Callithrix jacchus: one gene and its partners. The main gene of each other region encodes a partner of the protein of the gene in region 3 in a complex. Links are inferred from orthologs where the notes say so. Each region holds a gene or a part of one and is shown on either strand. Other genes may lie near its edges.

Region 1 (5,381 bases), on a different chromosome or scaffold from region 3:
GTATCCAGCACAACGCAACACATTTTGTAGACACACACACTTCATGAGCCCCGAAGTTCTCATTCTCCTCCGACCCCCACCTAAATTTCTGCGGGACTTCGTGATAGAATTGCCGTGCAGGCTGAAAGGGGGTGAAGAGCCCCCTCTAACGGACCTCCTGGTGCTCTGCAATGCTAAATTATTTTCTTTTCTTTTCTTTTTTTTTTTTTTTTTTTTTGAGACGAGGTTCGCTCTTGTTACCCAGGCTGGAAGTGCCATGGCGCGATCTCGGCTCACCGCAACCTCCGCCTCCTGGGTTCTGGCAATTCTCCTGCCTCAGCCTCCTGAGTAGCTGGGATTACAGGCACACGCCACCATGCCCAGCTAATTTTTTGTATTTTTAGTAGAGACGGGGTTTCACCATGTTGACCAGGATGGTCTCGATCTCTTGACCTCGTGATTCACCCGCCTTGGCCTCCCAAAGCGCTGGGATTACAGGCTTGAGCCACCGCGCCCGGCTGCTAAATTATTTTCCATCACAGACTATAGTAATCAAGTCAGCCCAAGCACACAAACGTGGTTAAGTGATGAAGCTGAATAAAACTTTCCTAAGGTGTCAATCACAAATTCCATCAACCATACTAAAGACTGATTTATCTTGCTCTTCTTTCTGGAGAAAATATTACAAGATTAATATCAATGAAGAAGCAGAGTATGCAATCAGAAATACATAGGGGGGAAAGGTGGGTTAATAAAAGTATTTTCCTGGATTTTGTGATGTGTATCGCATTTGTCAGCGTCTTTAAATGTCTCATTCGTTGAGACTTATTTTCTTCTAGATGAATATTCACCATCCTACCTCCTTCCGGGTTGGTAATTTGGAGTAGGCCCCTGCCCTCGAAACCCCGCCGGGATCCCAGGCGGGAGGGTGAGGAAGATGGCCCCCGCCCGGCGGCGACCGCCACAGCAAGTCACGCAGACATCTCCAGGCCGAACATGAATCCCACCGGATCTCGCGTTGCACCGAGGATTAATAAGCTCAACAGCTGTGCGGGAAACCACAACCTGCCGCGCGGCGGGAGACCCTCCCCTCCTTTCCGCCCGACTGGCTCCTTGAGGCGTGGCTGGACGCTCGGGCGCGGATTGGCCGGGAGGAGCGACGCAAATTTGTTTGAAAGGCCCAATCAGCGCCCCGCTTCTCCGCGTTAGCCAATAGAAAACCAAGAGGAAGGCAGGAAGGGCGGAGTCGCCTATTTGAGTTGCGGCGCTCTAGGCCCCGGAGTCCGGGTCGGCGCTGAGGTCGGTGTTGGGTAGGCTCCCGGGTCAGCTGCTCGGTCCGCTGTGCTCCTTGGAGGACGAGGGCATGGAAGACGAGCCGCTGTTGCAGAAGCTCAGAGCCAGTCGCCGCCGCTTCCAGAGGCGCATGCAGCGGCTGTTAGAGAAGGTGGGGCCCCCGAGGGTCCGCCAGGAGGGGAGGCCCTCGGGGCGGACTGAGTCTAGGAGGGGACGCAGAACGGGAAGGGGAGGGGGCTTTGGGGGCTCGGAGTGGGGAAGCGGAGAGAAGAGGGAGGCGGAGCTGGGGGCTCTGGGAGGGAAGAAGGAGGCACTGCCGAAGGCTTCGGAGGGGGAGGAGAGGGCCTCCGGAGCCGGGAATGGGAAAGCGGGACTGGGGCTCGGGTGCAGAGAAAAGGGCTTGGTGGGGCTGGGGGATCTTGAGAGGGACGAGCGAGGCGGGGTTGGGGGCTCCGCTGTAGAGACTGTGTTTGGGGCGCCCCAGACCAGACTAACAGCCTCTCGCGGGCTGGCGCCGCCTCTGCCAGGGTCTGGGGCTCCTCGTGGCCCTGGGACCTGACAGGAAGCCCTTTTCTCCCTCGCAGTACGACCAGCCCTTCGAGGACGCCCCGGTGGTGCAAATGGCCACGCTGACCTACGAGACGCCCCAAGGTAAGGATCATCCTCCCCTTCTGAGTGTTCGGGTGAAGAGTGTGAATGGAGTAGTTGAAATCCTTTCCCTGCTCTATTATGAAGTAGACATTGTTCACTTAATAGGAACCAAAACATCGGTGCCCTTAAACCTGCGAATTAATTGAATTACTTATTAAAGCAATTCCTGAAAAGACAGGTGCCTGCCTCCTGGTTCACATGCCTCTGCCTTGCCGGGTTGGCATCCCCGCTGGCCACCTCCCCACCGTGGTAGCTTGGGCCAGTTGCTTAGCTGGACTGGTCTCAGTGTCCTCATCTGTGAAATGGGAAGGATGACGACAGTAACATCTCCTAGGTGTGGGTGTTGTGACAGTTACTCTGCAACTCTGGGAACAGGACACTCACATGACTTGTTTGCCCTGTTTAGCTTGGAGTAGCAACTGTCTTCCACGAAGCTCCAAGTACTTGAACAGGGAGAAGAAGGCAGTCCGTTAAATCAGACTGAAATCGTATGGGTTCTTTTTGGTAAATTAGCCGGTGACGCTTTGCACTGCCTGGGGTCAATTCTTCCCATATAGCTTTATAACTAGCTCATTACAACTTAATGAAAACAAACCTCAGAGCAAGTTCTATGTTGTAGTAAACAGGCACAAAAGGTTCACAAGATCTGCTCCTTGAATTAAAAGAAATCCTACCTTTCTGCCTTTATAGCCAATCCAGGCACACCTGGGGTGAAAAGTTTACACAGGCAGAAACTAAAATATTCCAGTGGCAGTTCTCTGTGTAACGTGTAAATTGCCCTTAGAAAGCATTCACTCTGTATATCGGATATAGAGATTGCCTGCAAAAAGTGCTAACTCTATATATGGTATGTAGATTGCCCTCTCTATATATTTTAGGGACAGTCATTGTCATATATATGTTCCTTGTTTACATTTGACTTTTTGGGCTAATGATATAATTTAATAAGCCACTGCCTAGTAGGTGGGAGATTTCCATGAATGACAAATTTGCCTTAACAACCTGAAACTTTACCAAGATGAACAACAGCAGGGTATCAGAAATGGCTTGGTTTTAATATTGTACCTTTTTATTCGCCTGTCACTGTGGCTTCAGGTGAATACAGACTGAGCAGAAATTCAGCATTCAGGATTATTTAAATGGTCGTTTTTCTTTCTTTTCTTCAGGATTGAGAATTTGGGGTGGAAGACTAATAAAGGAAAGAAATGAAGGAGAGATCCAGGTAGCAAACGTGAAATTTTATTGCCAAATAACCTTGCTGTGGAGGGGGCTTGATGTGGATACAGGTGTGGGTGTACCCAACCTTGGAGGCTATGGAGAGGCCACCAGGGAGCACTTTTTCTCATCTTGACTACACTCTTTCTGTTTTTAAGGATTTACTTAGAAGCGTTTTTGCTGTTGCTTGTCCAGTGCAAGGAGGCACTGTGTAATGTTTGGCCTTTTTTGTCACCCTGTGTTTCCTGTGTCACAGGCTGAGGGGCTCTGATAACACGCGTGCAGGGGCTGGGCCAGCCCCAGCTGGCCACGGTGCCATCCCAGCGAGGGGCTCACTCTGTTGAGACCTTACAGAAAAGACCAAATCCAGTTCCTTCTAGAGAAAAAAAAATGCCTCCCTTCCTCTTTTGAAAGCGGAGGAAGAGAGACAAGGGAGGTGCGGTGTGGAGGATCACACATCTTTCCCTCTGCGTTTTTCTACCTTCCAAAGACCTGAGTTTCCCCACCTAGTTGATCTGAAGGTGTTGCAGCTCTGAGACCCATTATTTTAGGGGAAGGTGCTGTTGGCACCTGCAGGGACACCCAGGAGCCCTTTTGCAAGGTTGTCTGGCATTCGATTAATCACTGCCTCTCAGATGCCACATGGTTCCTCCCTGTGGTCACAGGTCAAGGAACCTGTACCCAAGAATGAAAACATCAAGGTTAAGGTGACGTAATATTAACAACAAATTGGAAGTCAAATCTTCTTTATTAATTATTCTAGTGATAGAAATGTTAAAAGTACATCCAACTCCATAAATGAGCTGATTTATCTATGCAAAGATGGTCACTCGTGCTATTTTAGTACAATGTGATTTCCTATAACATTTTTATAAATGCATTTTTTTATCTCACTTTTCCAGTTAATATATATGGAGAACTCTTCATCAACTATTGTATAATTGTAAAATTATATAATTATTTTTTAAACTATGCTTTTTTAACTGATCTATTGATAGGCAATTCACTATTTGTGGCTTCCTTTATTATAAATAAGAGTTGGCACACTTTTTCCACAAAGGGCCAGATGGTACATATTTTAGGCTTTGCTGGCTATATGGTCTCTGTTATGACTACTCAGTTCTGTGTTGTAGGGGGATAGTGACCGAAAAAATATGTGAATGAGTATACATGGCTGTGTTCCAATAAAACTTTACTTATAAAGCCCCTGTTAGAAATGGTTCTCAGAGAAAATCCTGGTCCTTATCTTCTCCCAGTACTGATATGCACCATTTTCAGTAGATGCTGAGAAGTAGGATTAAAGGATATATGCTGTTTTAATTATACATAATAGAGATGTCCACTCATCATTTGAAGATTTATTTAGGTTTTTGCTTAAAATGTAGGAGGACCCCTACCTGGATCTTCAGAATCTTCAGACCCTTTCTTGGGATTAGGCGGAAACTGGGTGTAGTCTGAGATTCCAGCAGGAATATCTCTGACTTCACTGTAATTGCTGTTGGTGACAGTGCCCGGATCCGCCTTCACCTTTTCCCAGACAACTTGGTGTTCCTGCTGCCCTGGAGCCTGCGGGAGGCAGTGGGCCCTACCAGGCCAGGCACTGAGCTGTGCTAGTTTGATTATAGCACATGCTTGGGCTCTCCTTGTAGCTATCAGAGCTGCCAGGTGGTTTGGGGTTGGTGTAGATCATCTGCTTCTCTGTGATTCTCAAAGCAGGTTCTGCCTCAGACACAGCCACAAAACAACCCTGCAAACACTAGCTTACATGATGGTTTCACTGGAAGCAAAGGTTCTGATATTCTGGAAGTGGGCTTCAGTTACCCTGTATTACTCATGGGTAACCCCAAGTCCCCTGAACCCTCAGAGTTGACACCTGAAGACCATCTCTAATGGTATAGGCCTCACCACCTTCTCACTACCCTGTTCTTATAAGGCTGGGTGGTTCCTAAAATATTAATATTTTAACCAGTCTGGTATCTTGAGTGCTTGAATTTTGCTAATGAGAACCCACCAGTACCATTTGCTGGGATTATTCATGCTAGAGAGCAGGCTCTGGAGAGCTGAAGCAGGCCTGCCCAGGAGTGTGGCCGCCTGCCCACCAGGTGTGAGCTCCTGGTGAGGACAAGCAGCTACCCTGTGAGTATAACTTAGGCTTAAACTGACTCCTCTCAGCCCTTTTTTTTTTTTTTTTTTTTTTTTTTTTTTTCAAGACAGTCTCACTCTGTTGTCCAGGCTGGAGTGCA
Region 2 (5,469 bases), on a different chromosome or scaffold from region 3:
TTTTGCTCTTGTTGCCCAGGCTGGAGTGCAGTGGTGCGATCTTGGCTCACTGCAACCTTCACCTCCCCGGTTCAAACAGTTCTTCTGCCTCAGCCTCCTGAGTAGCTGGGTCTACAGGCGCCCGCCACCACGCCCAGCTAATTTTTGTATTTTTAGTAGAGATGGGGTTTTACCATATTGGCCAGGTTGGTCTGGAACTCCTGACCTCATGATCCGCCCACCTCGGCCTCCCAAAGTGCTGGGATTACAGGCGTGAGCCACCGCACGCTGCCAACACCAGGATGTCATATAAACTTAAGATGAATATTGTCCTTATAACAGCTCCATTTCTTGAGAACCCACTGCAGGTGCTGAGCTGAAGGCCCGACAAGCAATGCCCCACAAGTTTAACCCTCAGAATATCAGAAGTGGAGTAATGATTACATTGCTCAATTTCTTCTTCTGGCAGGAGACTGAAGCTCTGAGACGTTAACAGGGTCTACGTACCTGCAAGCTCCTGATTCCATCACTGCTGCCTCAGAGATAGCTCCAGAATTTCTGTGTATGGGAGGAGCCTAGGGATGGGCCACCCTTTTGGAATGGAAAGTTCATGGGCTTGCTCTGCTTATTTCTGGTGGGAATCCCATGGCACTGCCAAGAGTATTTCTTTTTATTTTATTTATTTTTGGGGGTTGGTATTACTTTGAGATGCTAATGGAGATGGGTGGATTTGAGGACCAATGGCTTTTCTTTCTCCTTTTACTCAAAACACGCACAACACTCTTTTTAGAAGTCCAGCCGGCAGCCTCCAAATGAATTTCGTTCGTGCTGAGGTCGGGGAGAGGGCGATGCTGTGGCTCTCTTCAGTCCCGGAGGTCCTTCCAGATTCTCCAAAGTTAAGTTAGTCAAGTTTTGAGCTGTAACCTGTGTTGGGCACAGTAGCTCACACCTGTAATCCCAGCACTCTGGGAGGCCAAGGTGGAAGCCTCGCTTGAGGTCAGGAGTTCAAGATCAACCTGGGCAACAGGGTGAGACCCCCCATCGCCAATTTTTTTCCTTCTTTTTTGAAGAAGTCAAGTTAGGCTGGGCACGGTGGCTCATGCCTGTAATCCCAGCACTTTGGAAGGTAGAGGCGGATGGATCACTTGAAGTTAGGAGTTCAAGACCAGCTTGCCCAACATGGTGAAACCCCATCTCTACCTCTACTAAAAATACAAAAATTACCTGTGTGTGGTAGCGCATGCCTGTAATCCCAGCTACTTGGGAGACTGAGGCAAGAGAATCGTTGGAACCTGGGAGGTGGAGGCTGCAGTGAGCCAAGATCACACCACTGCACTCCAGCCTAAAAAAAAAAAAGTTAAACTATTTTTAAAAAGAAGTTGGCTGGGCGCGGTGGCTCACGCCTGTAATCCCAGCACTTTGGGAGGCCGAGGTGGGCGGATCACAAAGTCAGGAGTTCGAAACCAGCCTGGCCAACATGGTGAAACCCCGTCTTTACTAAAAAAATACAAAACTTAGCGGGGCGCGGTGGCCAGTGCCTGTAGTCCCAGCTACTTGGGAAGCTGAGGCAGAATTGCTTGAACCCGGGAGGTGGAGGTTGCAGTGACCCGAGATCGCGCCACTGCACTCCAGCCTGGGTGACAGAGCAAGACTCCGTCTCACAAAAAAAAAAAAAAAAAAAATCGGAGTCCACGGGGCGTGGCGAGCCGAACGGGGGTGGGGACAGTCGTGGTCCCGCCCCCGGGAGACCAGAAGTGACGTAAGCGGACAAAGGCAGCGCGCGCCGCGAGCTGTCACTTCTGGTCGTGGTCTGCCGGAGCTGCGGTTGGCTTGTGGGTCTTCGCTGCAGCGGCCCTCCGTTCCTCTTCCCCATCCTCTTCTCTCGGTCCCGGGAGCCCCTGCCCGTAGTGAGTAGCGCAAGGCGATGCGAAGGGGAAGCAGCCGCCGGGAGCTGGGAGGCCGCGATCCCAACCGCTTCGGCGCCCCGAGGACCCCGGCTCGTCACGTGACCCGGCGCGAGCGCGCGGGCCGGCCCGGGCCCCACGTGCGCGTCCCCAAGAGGTCCACGGGCCGGACCTGGGCAGAGACTACGGAGCGGTACATGAGTCGGTACAGGAGGAAAGTCGAGGCACCCAAAGCCCTGGCAGGGCACTCCCCCACCCCGATCCCCAGACCGCAGCAAATCCCTTTCTCTGAGCCCGTTTCTCCTCCGAGAAACAGGGATTTGGAGAGCGCCCATTTGGAGGATGGGTGGGAGGAATCGGTAAAATGTCCAGTTCAGAGCCTGGCACAGTTAAGTGCCCGTTGCATAGAAGCTGCTGTCGTATTTAACCTTGGGGTCCTGCCCCGGCGCCAGCCTGACACAGGTGCAGCTCAAATGACAGCTGTCGCCAAGAGCCCTTGCGACCAAGGTCAGCCCGTCTGCAGAGGGGCTGCCATATCGAAAAGCCCAGGCTTTGCTGCCCACCAACTGTGTGATCTCTCCCTCCAGACTTTGCTTTTTCCTCTGTACTATAAGTGTTGCCACAGCTCGTGTCAGAGGCCTTGACAGCGGGGAGGAACAGTGGAACCGGTGGTTGTGGTGTGTAGAATGATTGCCAGTGAGATGGGATGAGCCTCTGGGAGGAATCAGGTCTGGGATAAGGAGCCTGGATTCCCTCCTTAATTCTGTTCTCGGCTTCCTGTTTGTATGTTTAAAGACACATCACTTCCTTTAGTGTGCTGGTTTTTCTCTCTGTAACATGGGGACTGTGGGGGATTGGAAGTATGCATGGAGTGTTTTGGTGGAGGCTGGAAGCCCTAGGATCACAAGGATAGCACCTGAAAAATCATTTGTGGGGGTTCTGTCCTTTCTGGCAGAGGAAGCTCACTCCCCCTCCTGCTGATTTGCAGGGCTGTTTGAGTATGCTGAATTGGCCACCCAGCATACCAGTAATAATCCCCTAGGGTGTCCAGCAGTACCGTTTCTATGGCATTCTAAAGCAGTTTTCACATTGGTTCCCCACAGTGGGCAGAGTTGACAAGAATCTCATTTGACAGAGATTTCTAAGCTCAAGAGAGAATATGTGCCTGGCACTGTGCAAAGCAGTTTCAGCTTTTCATATGTGCTTTTAATCACAGCCTTTCTGTGAAGTCCCATCTTACAGCTAACCTGAGGAATGGTGAGGTTTAACGTCTTATCTGAGCTTACACAGCCAGTGAGCAGAGCTGAGATTTAGATCTGGTTCATCTGACTCCATCAGAGGCTTTGCTGGTTTTTAAACATATCCCCTATTTTGTCTTCTTCCCTCCCTTTCTCCCTTTCTTTTTTCTCAGAGCACTCTGCCGTTGTGGCCGGCTGCTGTCCACAGAGATGCAGGGAGGATGGGCTCTGTCTGCTAGGCTGCGGGAGGGTGTAGGTAACTTTCAGGCAGGCTTTTCCTTGGAGATTTACATGAGGACGATGAGATGAGATGATCCGGGTGACAGTTTCAGCACCATTTTCTTCCATGGGTCCTGGGAGCAGAGATGCAGTAGCTGGACAGCTGCCTGGGTCTGAACACCTTGGCAGGGAGGAGGCGGCAGCAGCCAGGTGACAGTGAAGGATGTAGGATCACGTTTACTGGCTGAGCAGGCATCTACCAGGTGTGAGGGGTTTCTCTTCCTCTCTTAGCCAGCCTAGAGTGCACACCAAGCCAGGCTGTGCCCCTGGCCCCCTCCCAGGCCGCACAGCCACGTGGCCTCTCACTGTGCTGGAGTGTAGCAGGACCTCCTTCGGTGAGCCCACCGACCTTCTCTGTTCTCTCTGACTCTTAGGGAACTCCTCCTGCCCCACTCCAATCTGGACACCAGGAGGCAGAACGCAGCCAGGACCTCAGGAATTACATTTATTCATGAATCGGCTGTTAGGGCAGATGTCAAAGCCAGGCAAGCGATTTCCCGGCCTAGATGTGCCTCCCCTGGCTTGTTCCTAGAATTTTCGTGTCAGTGGCATTCTTGTAAATTTGATTATTCAGGGGACCTTGACATTTAAAGGAATCATGTTACAAGGCTTTTGGTAAAGCACAAAATTACATTGTCAGTAACAGCCTTCAGTATAACCAATGGTTGGACTTTTGTCTGTAGGATTTTCTTAGAAGTGAAAAGTGACTTTAGCTGCACAAAGCCCATTCTTTCATTATTCAGCAGCCAATGAGCAAATGCCCACCTGGTATCCGGCCCTGGGCTAATGGTGTACAAGGTAATGTCTCAGCCACCAGGAAGCTTGCATTCTGGGAGAGGAGGCAGAGTACAGCCTGGTAAGTGTTTGGCCCCAGATTTATTCTGTTCATCTGATCAGAAGTGAACTTTCTGTCGAATATCTGTGTTTCGCGGGAAGCAGGAGCAGCACGATGATAAATCTCAATGTTGCCACTGCTCTCTAGGAGCTCCCAGGCCAGGCGGGAGATAGGATTGAATACAAAACCTTCAGTTTGCCAGGACTGGCGGCGGGGGGAGGGAGATGGGGTTGCTGTGTCACCACACTCCAGTCTAAATGGGAATTGTGCTAGCATGGTGGGGACGAGTAGTATTACATTTTTTAATCTTTGTCTTTAATTTTCCCAGCCACCAAGCATTTTTGTTTTTTGAGACAGTGTCTCGCTCTGTTGTCCAGGCTGGACTCCTGGGCTCAAGCAGTCTTCCCACCTCAGCCTCCCAAAGTGCTCAGATTATAGGCATGAGCCACTGCACCCAGCTGGAGAGTAGTTTTGAATGCCGCCCTCTCTGGGTGACTGATGGAGGGCTGTGACATGGTTGCTACGGTGCCTACTGGCAGAGGGGCAGGCAGCCCACTTGACCTGGGTCTTTACCCCATCAGACCATAGCCGCGTAAGCAGCCACCAAACCCAGCTACATGGTGACATTTGGGTTGGTGGCCCTTTTTCCTGTTGGCCACCCAGGCACATCTAGCAGTCTTGAGGATAGGCAGTTCTGATGGAAACAAGAATTCATTCTTCTTTTTGTTTTGACACAATGTTTCACTCTTTCCCAAGCTGGAATGCGGAGGAACAATCATGGCTCACTGTAGCCTCTACCTCCCAGGCTCAAGTGATCCTCCCACCTCAGCCTCCCTAGCAGCTGGGAGGTACTGGAATGTGTGTGTTTTTGATAGAGACGGGGTTTCTAATCTGCGGGCTGCTTTCTCCTTCCAGCAGCGTTGTTCCCAGTGCTGGGACGCCAGTGTGGGAGCTTTGTGGTCAGCTTGAGGAAAGGGTGCATGTGGAATATTTAGAACCAAGTCCTTCCCAGCCTGCTGCCCCAGAGGGCTCCCTGATAGGGGCAGGAATTACAGCCTTTCTTCATTGTGGCCCAAACCCTTCTGCGTGAACAGGGAAGTGAGGGGTCAGTCTGTGAGCACATCTAGCAGTCTTGAGGATAGGCAGTTCTGGTGGAAACAAGAATTCATTCTTCTTTTTGTTTTGACACAATGTTTCACTCTTTCCCAAGCTGGAATGCGGAGGAACAATCATG
Region 3 (5,469 bases):
CAAAGTAGCTGGGACTACAGGCATGAGCCACTACACCTGGATAATTTTTGTATTTTTAGTAGAGATGGGGTTTCACCATGTTGGCCAGACTGGTCTCTGACCTCAACTCCTAACCTCATGTGATCTGCCCACCTTGACCTCCCAAAGTGCTAGGCTAACAGACGTGAGCCCGGCCTACAAAATGTTTTTTAAAAAAATTAGCCGAGTATGGTTATAGCTCTTTTTAGAATTTGTCTAGCAGGCTTTCCAGTTTTTGCCAGAAAGCCCCATTAAAAAAAAAAATTAGCCATGTGTGATGGTGCATTCCTGTTAGTCCCAGCTACTCAGGAGGCTAAAGTGAGAGGACTGTGTGAGTCCAGCAGTTCAAGGCTGCAGTGAGCTGTGATTGCACCACCACACTCAAGCCTAAGCAACAGTACAAGACCCTGTGTGGGGGAAATATATATATTTATTTATTTATATTTATATATATACACACACACAGACACACAACATAGAATTTACCACTGGCCAGTTTTAAGTGTACAGTTCAGGCTTTAAGTGCATTCACAGTGCTGTATAACCATCACCACCATCCATGTCCAGAATTTTTCATCTTCTCAAACTAAAACTCTGCACCTATGAAATACTAACTCCCCATTCCTCCCCCAAACCCCCATTCACTGGCAACCACCATTTTACTTTCTGTCTCTATGAGTTTGATTATTCCAAGTACCTCATACAGTATTTGTCCTTTTTTTTTTTTTTTTTTTTTTTTTAAGACAGGGTCTCACTGTGTTGCCCAGACTGGAGTGCAGCAGCACAATCATGGCTCAGTTCAGCCTCAACTTCCTGGGCTCAAGCATCCTCCCACCTCAGCCTCCTGAGTAGCTGGGGCAAGAGGCACACATCCCCTACTTGGGATTTTTTTTCTTTTTTTTTTTTGAGATGGCACCCAGGCTGGAGGGCAATGGCATGATCTCAGCTCACTACAACCTCCCCCTCCTGGGTTCAAGCGATTCTCCTGCCTCAGCCTCCCGAGCAGCTGAGATTACAGGCGCCTGCCACCAAGCTGGGTTAATTTTTATATATTTCATAGAGACAGGGTTTCACCATGTTGACCAAGCTGGTCTTGAACTCCTGACCTCGGGTGATCCGCCTTGGCCTCCCAAAGTGTTGGGATTACAGGTGTGAGCCATCGCACCCGGGCCCAGCATTTGTCCTTTGGTGACTGCCTTAAACTTAGCATAATGTCCTCAAGGTTCATCTATGTTGCAGCACCCGTCGGAATTCCCTTCCTTTTTTTTTTTTTTTTTTTTTTTTGAGACGGAGTTTCGCTCTTGTTACCCAGGCTGGAGTGCAATGGCGCAATCTCGGCTCACCGCAACCTCCGCCTCCTGGGTTCAGGCAATTCTCCTGCCTCAGCCTCCTGAATTCCCTTCCTTTTTAAGGCTGTTTCTGCCTTTGGGCTGTTGTGAAGAATGCTGCTATCAACATGGGTGTGGGAATATCTGTTCAAGTCCCTGGCTGTATTTAAATTCTTTTGGATATTTAGCCAGAAGTGGAATTACTGGATCATCTCGTAATTCTATTTTTGATTTTTTGAGGAACCACTAATACTGTTTTTCACAGCAGCCGCAGCATTTTACACTCCCACCAGCAATGCACCAGGTTTCCATGAAATCACTAATTTTATAACTAACGTTTTTCCTGATTACAGACAGTACACGTTCACTGTAGAACATTTAGAAAATTCAAGAAAGAAAATTTAGAAAATTTAAATTCCCCTTATTCCACATACAGGAACATGACTTGAATTTTTATTATCCCCAACAAAGAGGAGAAAGGGTTTTTCTGGGACGATTGCGTTGCTATAGTGCCGAGGCCTGCCCTGCACGGATCTCATCCTCAAAGCCCCTCCGATCCCGGCGTCCCCGCGACCCCAAGCATCAGCCAAGTTCATGCAGTTGAACTGGCTTCTGAGTATATACGTGGATAATTCCCCGGAGGGCCGCAGACGCGACATGGGGTGGGTCTGGGTTGCTAGGGCAAAACATAAAATGTTTGAGGAAAGTGACTTGTCTAGAGAAGCACGTTCTGCAAACGCACCATCCACGTTCCAAACTGAGCATCGGTGTTTTGACCGAAGGGCACCTGAGGACATCAGTACAGTCCTGCAAAGGCCAGCACCCAGATCAGCAAGCAGAGAGCAGGAGAATTCCCCGCCCCATCTCACTTCTTTAAGTGCCTATTGGCTGATTTCACCATTAGTCCCCGCTGGCCTGCTATCACCGCCGCCGTTTGTGTCTCGGCCAGTACTCTCATTGGTCCTATCCGCAGTCGCTCTACGTAAGGGGCGTTCCAGAGTCAGCCACTGAGAGTCGCTGGATTCGGGTTTTAAAAAACGCGGGCGGTGAAGTGGGCGGAGCGAGCGATTTGAACGCGAGCGGCGCGGAACGTGGTTAAGCACCGGCTCCTCTAAGGCTCGCGGTCCAGGGCTCTCCGAGCCTACCCAGACGCCAGCCTTTTGTCCCTGGACCCGGCAGCCCAAGCAGGAGCCGTGGGGCCGGGCGCCAGCACTCTCCGCGGCGCGCCATGGGCCCGCGCCGCCGGAGCCGCAAGCCCGAGGCCCCGAGGAGGCGCAGCGCGAGCCCGACCCCCAGCCCCTCCCGGCGGGGCCCCTCCTTAGGTAACCGGCTGCGGCCCTGTCTCGTAGAGGAGAAAACCGAGGCTCGCAGGCGGAGCCCGGATCTCCCGAGTCCCGGTCGCGTGACCTTCCCCTGCTGGGGGACAACACGGTTCCGCTGTCCGGCATCCGCCCCGGGCACGAGCGGTGTCAGCCCTGCGAGGGACTGGAGCAGGCGGTTCGAAGCGGGAAGGGACCAGCTCCTAACGCCGCCTGCTTGTTAGGACTAGCGGTTACCCAGCGCCCACCGCCAACCAGGCATTGCGTCCCTACTGTTCGTGCGTTATCTCAGCTTCAGGTCGTACGCGTTTTATAGCTAATGAAAAAGCCGAGGCACAGACAGGCCAGGGAGCTTGAGCAGAGTCACATAACTTGTTCTGGCGGACACGGGATTTCCAATCCTCTGTGTCTGTGCTTTTTTAAAATTGCAAAAGTATTGACTGCTTTCAGTGACGATTTCAAACTGCAGTCCTCTTAGGAGGCGTCTTTCAGGTTTTTTTCCCTTCCGGGAGAGACTGTTTAGACCTTGAACCGAGGCCCTCTGCGATGCTCACTCTGTTACCTTCCAGAGCTTATGTCCGGCAAAGAGGGGCCGAAGTCTGTGTCTTCACTGTCTGTATGGTGGGCTGGTGGATGGGAAACAGGGGCAGGAGGACGCAGATGCCTGTATGGTACGCGTGGCAATAGCTGCTTTACTTATCTCTAAACTCTTGCTACATAGCCATGAACAAGATGGGGAAAGTGTATTGTAAATTTGTTTGTTTTTTTTAGAGACTGGGTCTCCCTGTGTTGTCCGGACTGGTGTCAAATAAGTGATCCTCCTGCCTGGGCCTTCCAAAGTGCTGGGATTACAGGCATGAGCCACTGCGCCTATAGGCTTTTTGTGTTTTTTGTGTTTTTTTGAGACCCATCGCCCAGGCTGGAGTGCTGTGATGCCATCAGGGCTCACTACAGCCTCAATTTCCCAGGCTCAGTGATTCTCCCACCTCAGCCTCCTGAGTAGCTGGGACTACTGGCATGTACCACCACGCCTGGCTAATTTTTTGTAGTTTTAGTAGAGATGGGGTTTTGCCATATTGCCTAGGCTAGAGTAGGTTTTTCTAGATGTTGCTGTCGTGAATGGGATGTTTTTTCTTTTCCAAAACATGAGTATTTAACCTTTGCATCCAGCCGACTTGCCGAATTCTCATGCATCCTAATAGTCTTTTAGTTGCTTCAGTTGGAATTTTTAAGTCGACTATATGTCACCTGCAGATAACTTTTGAGTCTTCCGTTTTCGTTTCTACACATTTTATTTCTTACTGTATGGTATTAGTAAGGCCCTGAGATTCGCCAAGAGCAGTGTTTTGGCCATCTTTGTCTCATTTGTAATTTTAACAGGAATATTAAGTGTGATGTTTGCTGTTCCTTTCCAAGGTAGAAACATCCTTCTATTCCTGGTTAAATGGAAGGTTTCTCTCAAATGGGCTCTCAACACTTCTTGGTAGTCCTACCTGCTTTGTCTGGTATTCTCTAATTTTAGAGACAGAGTCTCACTTTGTCATCCGGGCTGGAGTGCAGTGGTGCTATCTTGGCTAATTGCAGCCTTGACCTCTTGGGCTCATGTGATCCTCCGGCTTCAAAATGTTTTGACTCTACAAAAATATTGCCCAGCATGGTCTTGAACTCCTGGCCTAAAGTGGTTCTCCCGCCTTGGCCTTCCAGAATGATGGGATTACAAGAATGAGCCATCTTGCCTGGCCTTTGTCTGGAATTCTTGCTTTTTCATTCTCCCCATGACTATTTCTTTTATTTTCTTTTCTTTTCTTTTCTTTTTTTTGAGACGGAGTCTTGCTGTATCACCAGGCTGGAGTCAGTGGCATGATCTCGGCTCACTACAACCTCCGCCTCCTGGGTTCAAGTGATTCTCCTGCCTTAGCCTCCCAAGTAGCTGGGACTACAGGTGTGTGCCACCATGCCCAGCTAATATTTTATTTTTAGTAGAGCGGGGTTTCACCATATTGACCAGGATGGTCTTGATCTCTTGACCTCATGATCTGCCTGCCTCAGCCTCCCAAAGTGCTGGGATTATAGGTGTGAGCCACCACGCCTGGCCCTCATGACTATTTCATACCTTTTCCTCCCTCCATGACTTCCTACAGCTCCATTCCCCCCACTCACTCTTAGCTAATGATGGCCTTGACTAAGTTCCCCTTCCTATCAAAGCCACCCCTCCTTCTACATGGGCTCTTGGTCATATCCTTCTTTCACCTACAAGGAGCTTTCTGTTGTCCTTTCTACCTGTGCTTAGATAAATCCAGACACTTCACATTAGCATTGGCAAATGTGCTCTAGTATTTATGATGTTAAGAGAAAGTACAGGAGTGTTTCCTTGACCCCACATTCTCACCTCCCTATACCTCCCATTTCTCTCTACTCCCCCTTCATAGCCATCGTTTTAAAATAGCCAGACTTAGTTAGGTCTACATATGTTGTGTCTGATTCCTTCCATCCTAGTGACCCTACAACCTACTCCAATCTGACTCCCCACAACCACTACCCCTTGAACTACACCTGTCAGGGTCATCAGCACCTTTTGTATTGCCAAATCCAGTAGGCAGGTCTGTGTTCTTACTGTGTCCCGGAAGCATCTGACACAGTGGGCCTCTTTCTCCTTGAAGCGTGCTATTCCCTAAGCTTCCATGCCACTGTGGACTCTGGCAGTTCTGCTTATCCTTCTTCACTGCCTATGCTGCCTCCCTCCAGCTCCTTGACATTGGACTTCCTTGACATCCTTTTCCTTTCTACCCCCTCTCTAGATGATC

The links. Proteins that work in one complex are often made in the same cells at the same time.
Region 1: the proteins of CENPA (region 3) and HJURP are in contact, whole or in part, in a crystal structure (PDB 3R45), measured with the Homo sapiens proteins. The link is inferred for Callithrix jacchus from reciprocal best matches to the Homo sapiens genes CENPA and HJURP. Residues at the interface, in NP_001800.1 of Homo sapiens: Lys64, Leu65, Ser68, Arg69, Arg72, Asp83, Phe84, Asn85, Trp86, Gln87, Ala88, Gln89, Leu91, Leu92, Ala93, Glu96, Ala97, Ala100, Phe101, His104, Glu107, Asp108, Leu111, Leu112, Leu114, His115, Ile132, Glu136; in NP_060880.3 of Homo sapiens: Glu14, Asp15, Leu18, Lys21, Leu22, Ser25, Arg26, Arg28, Phe29, Arg32, Met33, Leu36, Lys39, Tyr40, Pro43, Phe44, Thr47, Pro48, Val49, Val50, Gln51, Met52, Ala53, Thr54, Leu55, Ile65, Trp66, Gly67.
Region 2: the proteins of CENPA (region 3) and NTMT1 are in contact, whole or in part, in a crystal structure (PDB 5CVD), measured with the Homo sapiens proteins. The link is inferred for Callithrix jacchus from reciprocal best matches to the Homo sapiens genes CENPA and NTMT1. Residues at the interface, in NP_001800.1 of Homo sapiens: Gly2, Pro3, Arg4, Arg5, Arg6, Ser7; in NP_001273725.1 of Homo sapiens: Tyr19, Trp20, Met30, Leu31, Gly32, Tyr34, Ile37, Trp136, Asn168, Ile175, Asp177, Asp180, Asp212, Glu213, Ile214, Tyr215.

The regions. Positions count from the first base shown.
Region 1 is NC_133507.1:155,107,550-155,112,930, reverse strand, and holds the start of HJURP (Holliday junction recognition protein), read left to right. Parts: upstream 1-1,264; 5' UTR 1,265-1,342; coding exon 1,343-1,423; intron 1,424-1,856; coding exon 1,857-1,923; intron 1,924-3,089; coding exon 3,090-3,145; intron 3,146-5,381. UniProt on the Homo sapiens protein: Centromeric protein that plays a central role in the incorporation and maintenance of histone H3-like variant CENPA at centromeres.
Region 2 is NC_133502.1:178,212,443-178,217,911, forward strand, and holds the start of NTMT1 (N-terminal Xaa-Pro-Lys N-methyltransferase 1), read left to right. Parts: upstream 1-1,774; 5' UTR 1,775-4,256; intron 4,257-5,469. UniProt on the Homo sapiens protein: Distributive alpha-N-methyltransferase that methylates the N-terminus of target proteins containing the N-terminal motif [Ala/Gly/Pro/Ser]-Pro-Lys when the initiator Met is cleaved.
Region 3 is NC_133515.1:88,211,869-88,217,337, reverse strand, and holds the start of CENPA (histone H3-like centromeric protein A), read left to right. Parts: upstream 1-2,403; 5' UTR 2,404-2,574; coding exon 2,575-2,668; intron 2,669-5,469. UniProt on the Homo sapiens protein: Histone H3-like nucleosomal protein that is specifically found in centromeric nucleosomes. Replaces conventional H3 in the nucleosome core of centromeric chromatin that serves as an assembly site for the inner kinetochore.